Linked DNA regions of Tribolium castaneum. The protein of the gene in region 1 interacts with the protein of each later gene in a pairwise test. Links are inferred from orthologs where the notes say so. Each region holds a gene or a part of one and is shown in the gene's direction. Other genes may lie near its edges.

Region 1 (4,317 bases):
CTCTTCAAGAGGATTGGTTTTCGGCGATTCACACGTTACTTCTTCTTTTTCAGTTGTATTTTCCTGTAATAATCTCTTGTAAAAAAATTAAATAATTAACTTCTTACTACTTTTCTCAAACGTCGAGAAGTGCGTCTCGGTTGATTTTCCAGCAGACGCTTCCTGGCCAGTCTTTCCTTTTCCCGGAACAATCTGGGCAATTCAGGCAAGAAGTTCTCACTTAAAGTACGATGTAACTCTCTTTCACACTTAGCAGTCGATTTTTTAAATTTCTTGTTAAGTTGAAACCAATCGTCTTCAGTGAAACAAATAACCTGCCACACGGATTTCTTCTTATTATTCTTGGTTTTAAAGTCCTCTCTGTACAGTCTAGTACCGTAAAAATACCAGTAAGCAGATTCGTTACTGTCATAACCCAGGGGCTCAACCCTCAAGCTGTCTGCTTCTAAATTTTTCAGCTGGTCAAGCACATCATCAGCATCTAAACGAAAATCACAGAGTGCATGTAAAATGTCCACTTTTGTTCTCAAAGGTAACAATTGGAAATCAACGTCTGTGTTAAATGGGTTGTATTGATCATGTTCCTGACATTTCTGGCGAAAGAGACGTCTCAGGAACATCTGATAATTGAACGTTGAGATTTCATTGTTCGGCAAGCACCCACTGAGAAGCCTCACGATCAGTTCTTGAAGCCAAGAGGTTTCCTCCGTCCCATCAGTCAAGAGAGCCTCCTCCAAATCCTAGATCAAAGCAAAACGAATCAAAACCCGAACGCAGGAATTGTTTGCGTGGTTTTACCTCGATATCAAAATCCAAAAGGTTAAATGCTGTTCGAAACAATGAACAAAAATGTGCAATGCTTGGAACCTCCCACCATGATTGAATATCTGAAACAACGGCCAGAATTAGGGAAAACAGCACTTGAGAAGCCAAATCGGCGAATTTCCGTAAACACACCTAGGATGCTAATGAAAGTTGGAAACATAACCTATACGGTGATCAATACATGTAACGTTGTTAATTCACATTAATCTCGACGAAACTCCCCAAAAAGCCATGAATTAACGAATTTACGACTCGAACGGCGGATAACCAGCCACATTTAGCGCACTATAGGCCTTTGGGTGTCAAAAAGAATGCCATTTCTTCAACAAGCTTTGATAGGCTTCCCCCAAATCTGCGTACTAGTGCAACCTAGCGTCTATTTCTACGTCACTTAACGTCGTCACACTCGGCGTAATTTACCGCAAAATCACCGTAATTCCGCCAATTGCCCGATATTACACAATGTAAACATGCTCCTAACGCATCGCCGAAAATTCCTGACAACTGTCAGAGTCACTTTGAAAATTCGCCTTTTGAAAAACCGGAAGTTATTAGAATAGTGCTGCTTTTACCGCTTCTTATTGTATTTGACGTCGACCAATCACAGCGCAGCATTTTAAATAGGTGAAAGACCTTTGTTTTGTTTGACGCTTTTGACAGCAAATGGTGTGTTTTTTGACAATATATTTTCATAATGGGTTATGAAAGCTGTGTGTTTATATTTATTGAGATGTGTAATTGTAATCTCTGTGATACTAACACCGAATTTAAGTGATAAACTGCGTCGATTTGATGTTTTACTAGTGTAAGGATTCGTACTGCAAAATGTCTTCATCCAGAAACGATTTCCCTTTGGAAGCCCTCAATATACACGGGCCCACCTTCCTCAAACATGCCTTAACTAGTTGCACTGATCCGCTCAAAGCCATTGAAGAGTTTCAGGTACTTTTTGTCATGATTTTATCCATAGATTTGTAAATAAATTCGCTTTCTTATAGGTTACAAACGGGATACTTTTACCCTCATTACGCCCAATGCTTCCATTACTTGATCTACACGGGGTGAGAAGACTGGATTTTCACATGTCAGTTGTAGAGGTAAAGTATTCTCATTAAATATTAATCCCCTCATTAGTGGCAATGTCTGATGGGTTGGACTTTAAAGTTCACTAGAACTGGCATCAATATATTTGATTTTAAACAAACCATACACAGTAATAATGTTCAATAAGTTTCGTCAGTGAAGGGGAAGGCGTATACCTACCCAAAAATAACAAATAAAGAAAATTAAAACTAAACTATGTTACGGTCAATGTGTAAACTTGGCTAATTTGTACACTAGCTGGTTAGTTTGCAAACTAATAGAAAACCCAGTTTCAACTAAAATAGCTAGATAGTTTATAAACTATCCGATTTTTCTTAGTCATTTTTCTATTGTCTATGTATTTATTTTTTTAATAAAAACCACAGATTCAGTTGTTACGCCTGGCTCATATTTTTTAAGAAATCTTTACAAAACAGGGATTTTTCGAGGGATCATTATACCCCACTCTTTCCTAGTTTTCCTTATTTTTAGCATTAAAATCTGGCTCACATTTTAAAAAGGACATAAAAAATAGGGTATTTTTCATAAAAAATCGACGTTTTAATAGCTAAAGTGGGCTTAAAAACAAGTTATTTTTCCATTTTTGTGTTAAAACGACCTCAATGGGTTGATTTTCAAACTCAACAAATTTCAACGACTAAAACCTGAAAATAATCGTCTCATTTTCCTAAAAATTGATGTTTCAGGAAAATCTGAGTTAGAAAAAAGGGTAAAAGTCAAATTCAACGTTGTTTTTAATGTTTTCATAATAATAATTATGAAATTTAAATTAAATGTTGTTTTGAATGTGATTATTACTCGAGTACATCCCGAAAATCAGATGGTATTTAATGTATCATGGTTTTACTTAATAAGAATTATAAAACTGTTTATAATTGCTTTTATGGTGCAAACTGTATGAAAATGCGCTCAGGAGTTGGTCGATAATGTGACTCATTTTTGGTTGGTGTCTTGTTTCGTTCATTACTCCATAATTTACAACTGGATTTATTGATTTTCAATTAAAATGTATTAACACCGTATTTCCTTATTCAATTGTTGTGATTTTTTTCTGATTGCAGTAATTGTACTTTTTTTAAAAACATTTTATTGTTTTTGGCTTTAAACCGCATTGTTACGAACAAAAGTTTTGTAATAAAACGCAATGTTGGTTTACATTCTATTAGATACATAAATAAACGTGTAATCTCACAAAACCAACTTTGGTAGTAAAACGTCAAAACATAAAGTGTTTTATGTGCCCTCATTCAGGTCCAGCGAGATAAGTTTGCCATTCATGTAGACATAAATTCCATTAGTAAAAAATTCCCGAATAAAGTTCCCAACTCGCTGTATTTATTTCCCTTTAATGAAAAAATTACGATGTTGGTTCAGGAACTCCGAGAGAAACTAATCGCACACATCAATGAAATCGGCAAGCAAGAAGGACGCGAAAGGGACAGGAAGCTGAAAGATTTACTCGTAAAGAGTTTCCCTGTGGTCAAAGTGAAGGCTTTAAGGCCGATAGTGATGGCGATTTTGAAAAACACACCACAGATTGACGACAACTATTTGAAAATATTAGTTAGAGATCGGGAACTGTACAACGACACTGACACAGAAGTCAAACGGCAGATCTGGAAGGACAACCAGTCGCTCTTCGGAGATGAGGTCTCGCCTCTCTTGAGTCAGTACATCAGCGAAAAAGAGAACGTGCTGTTCGATCACACCAACATCAGCACCCAGTTCTTCGGGCCTTCCCCCAAGGTGCGGCGCCAAGGGGAAGTCGTCCAGAAGTTGGCACACATGATTGGAAACAGTGTTAAATTGTACGATATGGTGCTCCAGTTTCTTCGCACTTTGTTTTTGCGGACCCGAAACGTGCATTACTGCACTTTGAGGGCCGAATTATTAATGGCCTTACACGATTTGGAAGTTCAGGATATAATTTCGATAGATCCATGCCATAAATTTACGTGGTGCCTTGATGCCTGCATTAGGGAAAAAAATGTCGACATTAAACGCTCAAGGGAGTTGCAAGGGTTTTTGGATAACGTTAAGAGGGGCCAAGAGCAGGTGCTGGGCGATTTATCAATGACTTTATGCGACCCCTACGCCATTAATTTTTTGGCCACGTCGGCCATAAAAATCCTGCATCATCTCATATACGTAGAAGGGATGCCGAGGGTAAATAATGAGAATTTTCGAAACAAAATTATAATTTTTATACGAATATTTTAGGACAATACGATTTTAATTTTGCTCTTGCGAATGTTGGCTTTGGGTCTAAGTGCCTGGGTCATGATCGACTCCCAAGACTTCAAAGAGCCCAAACTGGACAGTCAGGTCGTTACGAAATTTTTGCCGGCCCTAATGTCGCTCATGGTCGACGACCAAGTGCGGCAATTG
Region 2 (3,568 bases), about 6.4 Mb from region 1:
TTCACCACGGGCTCAATTTCAGCAAATTCCAAAAACTCGGTCTCGGGACCATTATTATGAAGTCCATCTATTAAAAACCCACCTACATCTTTGACATCTGCTAGAATCGATTTGAGAAACTTTTCCCGAGCTAATTGTTTATAACCCCCCACTACAGGAGCAATCACAAACGAATTGGCTAAAGTTTGCGATTTTCGGTGTCTCTCCAAACACTCCTTGTAGAAACTGACTGTGTTACTGAGTGATTTTGAAATGCGTTTTTCCGAACTGCTGATATTGGTGTCTCCATCAGAGAGCAAGAAATAAATGTCAGGCTTGAAAGACTCCACCACGTCCATGTAGCTTTTAGCGTCGTAATAAACCTTGCCGTTTTTCGTCCAAATGGGCACTTTTAACGTGGAATTGTGCCCCTGTTTTGTGATATTGCAAGGGTCTTGAAGAGTGAGACAAGTCAGACTGTCTTTACTACCAATGAAATTGGAAATGGTCCCTTCGTAATACTGCATCGCCTCTTTAAACGTGTGCATCCCAGCTAAAGGGATTTGCAAGATCTGGGGGTCCCTACTGACCAGTTTAAACACCTCATGTGTAATGTGAGGGATTTGACCGCCCTAAATTAAATTTTAAGGACAGTTAACCAAATAGGGGACTCACCTGTGTGTGGAGCATTACTGCAGGAGTCTTGATCGAGACAGAAGGCTTGGCATCGATCTCTGAAAGAGTCCCCAAACGTTGGGCACACTTTGAGACAGATTCCACGTAAAATTTCATCGTTAATTTACACTAAATGCACTCGGAAAAGTGTGAAAAAGCAGTCTATACAACTAAAATCACTTCCAGAATTAGGTTTTGACAAATAAAGCAAACATGACATTCAAAAATCCGAAAAAAGTGGACACATGCCGGCCTAACCTTACTTTTGCATGCCTCACAAATGGGAAAAAATAGATGACAGGGCGCAAAAACACACTCATTTACGTTTTAAAAACGAACTTCACATGATTTCATTCATTAATATACCAAAACTTTGCCAGTTTTTTCATTATTTAATTGTGGTTGTTTTGTAGTTTTTTTGGCATTTTTTGTGTGGCAACGTGTGACATATCGAAATTTACAGTGGCCCAGTACAGTATTGCGTGAATTAAAAAAATAACTAGCGTATTAAATTTTGGACATTGAGTTAGCTGACTGGAATTGGTTATAAAGTGAATAGTTTATCTAAATTAAACAATTAAAATTAATTGAATTATGAACTAGTACTGTGATTTTCGACCTTTTGCACATTAAACCGCTGTTAGTGTTGATGTTTATTCATCGAACTGTCATTCAGTTTGCAAATTGGACAAGTTTTTTTTTGATTAAACGATGGTTTACATTCATTTTCCGGCAAATTTCACTGAAGAGGAGCTCATGCTCCAAGCCAAATACCAGAAACTTAAGAAAAAGGTAAGTGGAACGGTGTAAACAACCTTTTCTAACTTCCTCTCAGAAAAAGGCTTTGCAAGCCCTGAAAGCCCCCAAACCCGAGCCCGAAAAGCCCATTACGCCTAAACGGCCAGCGGAGGCTCGAGATGCTCGTGAGGTTGCGAAAAAACTTATCAAATCCGGTGCCATTCCGGCCATTTCCAAACAACAAAAACAGCCAGAACAGGGCTTTAAACGGCCTAGAGGCTTGGAAAGAAAACTGATTTCGGATAAAATTGTGAGTGGTTATCAGCCTTTTTCGGCTGTGCAGATGGACGATGGGCCTGATAACCCCGAAAATAAGCCGCCAAGGATTAAGAATTTGTATGATACTTTTGCTAATGCGCGTGATAGGGAAGAGAGGGGTTTGACTGAGAAACAGAGGGAAAAGCCGGATAAACCCAGGCAAGGGAATACGATTTATGTGTCAGGGTATAAGATAACGGAGGAGTTTTTGAAGAAGCATTTTTCAACGATTGGAAATATTGTGAATATTTCAATGGAGATTGAGAAAAAGTATGAGGGGGTACAATTTTTATGTGGGGTTTTACATGTTTGGGTTTTAGTCGCGGGTTTGTCACGTTTGATAAGGTGGAAGCCGCCGAACGGGCCATAGCTGAGGTAGGTTTTTATTTGTGATTTTTTGGTCATTGTTTACAATAGTTTTTTATTGAGTTACAAAAGAGAAAACACGAAAAAATTAAAAAAGAATTTTGTGTTTGTCTCAAAAATGTGCTTAAAGACGTGAAGAAGGTGAAGAACAGTATTTTCGGCTTAATTTGCTTGTTTTTCTTACATTTTGTAAATAATTGTGTTTCTGGATAACAAACGAGCTAGTCTTAGAAAAAAAAGGCAAGAATAATGTAATCATCGCAAAAACTGTAAGATTTTTGCTTTAAAAGTGTCTTTAAATTATTGAAAACGGTAAAAATAACAGCAACTTTGACAAAATTTTGTGTTTTTACTGATTGAATTTTCGGCACAATTTCACAAACTTTCGGGAGGAAAACTGTGATTTTGGTTTAGAAATTGTTACATTTATTAATTGGCGGAAAACTATAAAAGTAACACCATATTCGAACTAAATCGGCGATTTTTTGACGTATTATTTACTCGGTCATTAATTAAGAAATATAAAATTCTGCGTCTTAATTTTCTTGTTTATTTGAAAGCAACAGGTGATTGTGACATTAATATTCAATTTTTTTGGTGTATTATTGGTTATTTTATTTTATTTCTTATTTGCAAATTTATTAACTGAAAAATTAAAAGATGGATGGGAGTATGGTTTCGGGGATTCAGCTCAAAGTCACTCTAGCGAGACGACAGCCCCAAATAGAGCCAATAAATGACGCATCATCGAGCGCAGCGTGGGCCACTCTAGGTAAAAAAAGCAACAAAATAAAAACTATAAACTTGATACAACATTTTTATAGCGTCAAGTCATTCTCAAAAAGGCAATCACAGGGATAAGAGAAATTTAGTGTCGTATGATGATATGTTTGACTAAACTTACGTAAGGTGATTTATTAAGAAAAAACCCGCTTAATTATAATAGTATTAACAATAAAAAATTGAATAATAGTTTGACTAAAAATTTATTTACATAACAAATCCATTGAAAAATCCCTTACATGTCCCTCGGCGGATTAAAGTACTCCCAGTGATGATGATGCACCGTTTTCCCATCACCCGCTAATAAAATCAATCCCGCAATTAAAACCAACAAAATCACCATCATTACATGCAAATCCTGTTGCCCATCCGCATTCCGTATCAAATTATCCCGAATATGCGCAATCAGTCTTTTAATCGTGCAATTAGCTGCCGTTCCGCACGCCCTCACCAATTGCCCCGTCAGCTGGGGAATGGAAGGGGGCTCAGGCGAGCGCACACGTCGTCGTGCCGGGGGCGGCGTCTCCTCCGAACTCGACCTAGAAACGGGGGTTTTACGATGACGCCGCCTTCGATAAGGCGCCATAGGAATGTCCTCATCCACGAATTGTTGCGCTCGCAAAGCGTAGAAACTCGCAGGGGGCTGTGAAGAAGGGGGCATGTAGATGGGGTCAGGGGGACGCGGAGGCGGCGTTTCCTCAATCGAGAC

What was found. The genes of interacting proteins can lie anywhere in the genome.
Region 2: the proteins of NELF-B (region 1) and Nelf-E interact in binary tests that used the Homo sapiens proteins (3 or more experiments, as listed by UniProt). The link is inferred for Tribolium castaneum from reciprocal best matches to the Homo sapiens genes NELFB and NELFE.

What each region holds. Positions count from the first base shown.
Region 1 is NC_087394.1:30,669,093-30,673,409, reverse strand, and holds the start of NELF-B (negative elongation factor B), read left to right. Parts: upstream 1-1,480; 5' UTR 1,481-1,650; coding exon 1,651-1,767; intron 1,768-1,823; coding exon 1,824-1,922; intron 1,923-3,303; coding exon 3,304-4,095; intron 4,096-4,109; exon of another isoform or gene 4,110-4,149; coding exon 4,150-4,317. Other genes in the region: uncharacterized protein dikar, read right to left, coding at 1-63, 111-740, 799-887, 958-985. UniProt on the Homo sapiens protein: Essential component of the NELF complex, a complex that negatively regulates the elongation of transcription by RNA polymerase II.
Region 2 is NC_087394.1:37,091,903-37,095,470, reverse strand, and holds Nelf-E (negative elongation factor E), read left to right. Parts: upstream 1-1,285; 5' UTR 1,286-1,365; coding exon 1,366-1,446; intron 1,447-1,489; coding exon 1,490-1,980; intron 1,981-2,030; coding exon 2,031-2,085; intron 2,086-2,736; coding exon 2,737-2,848; intron 2,849-2,900; coding exon 2,901-2,974; 3' UTR 2,975-3,048; downstream 3,049-3,568. Other genes in the region: queuine tRNA-ribosyltransferase accessory subunit 2, read right to left, coding at 1-611, 655-771; titin, read right to left, coding at 3,095-3,568. UniProt on the Homo sapiens protein: Essential component of the NELF complex, a complex that negatively regulates the elongation of transcription by RNA polymerase II.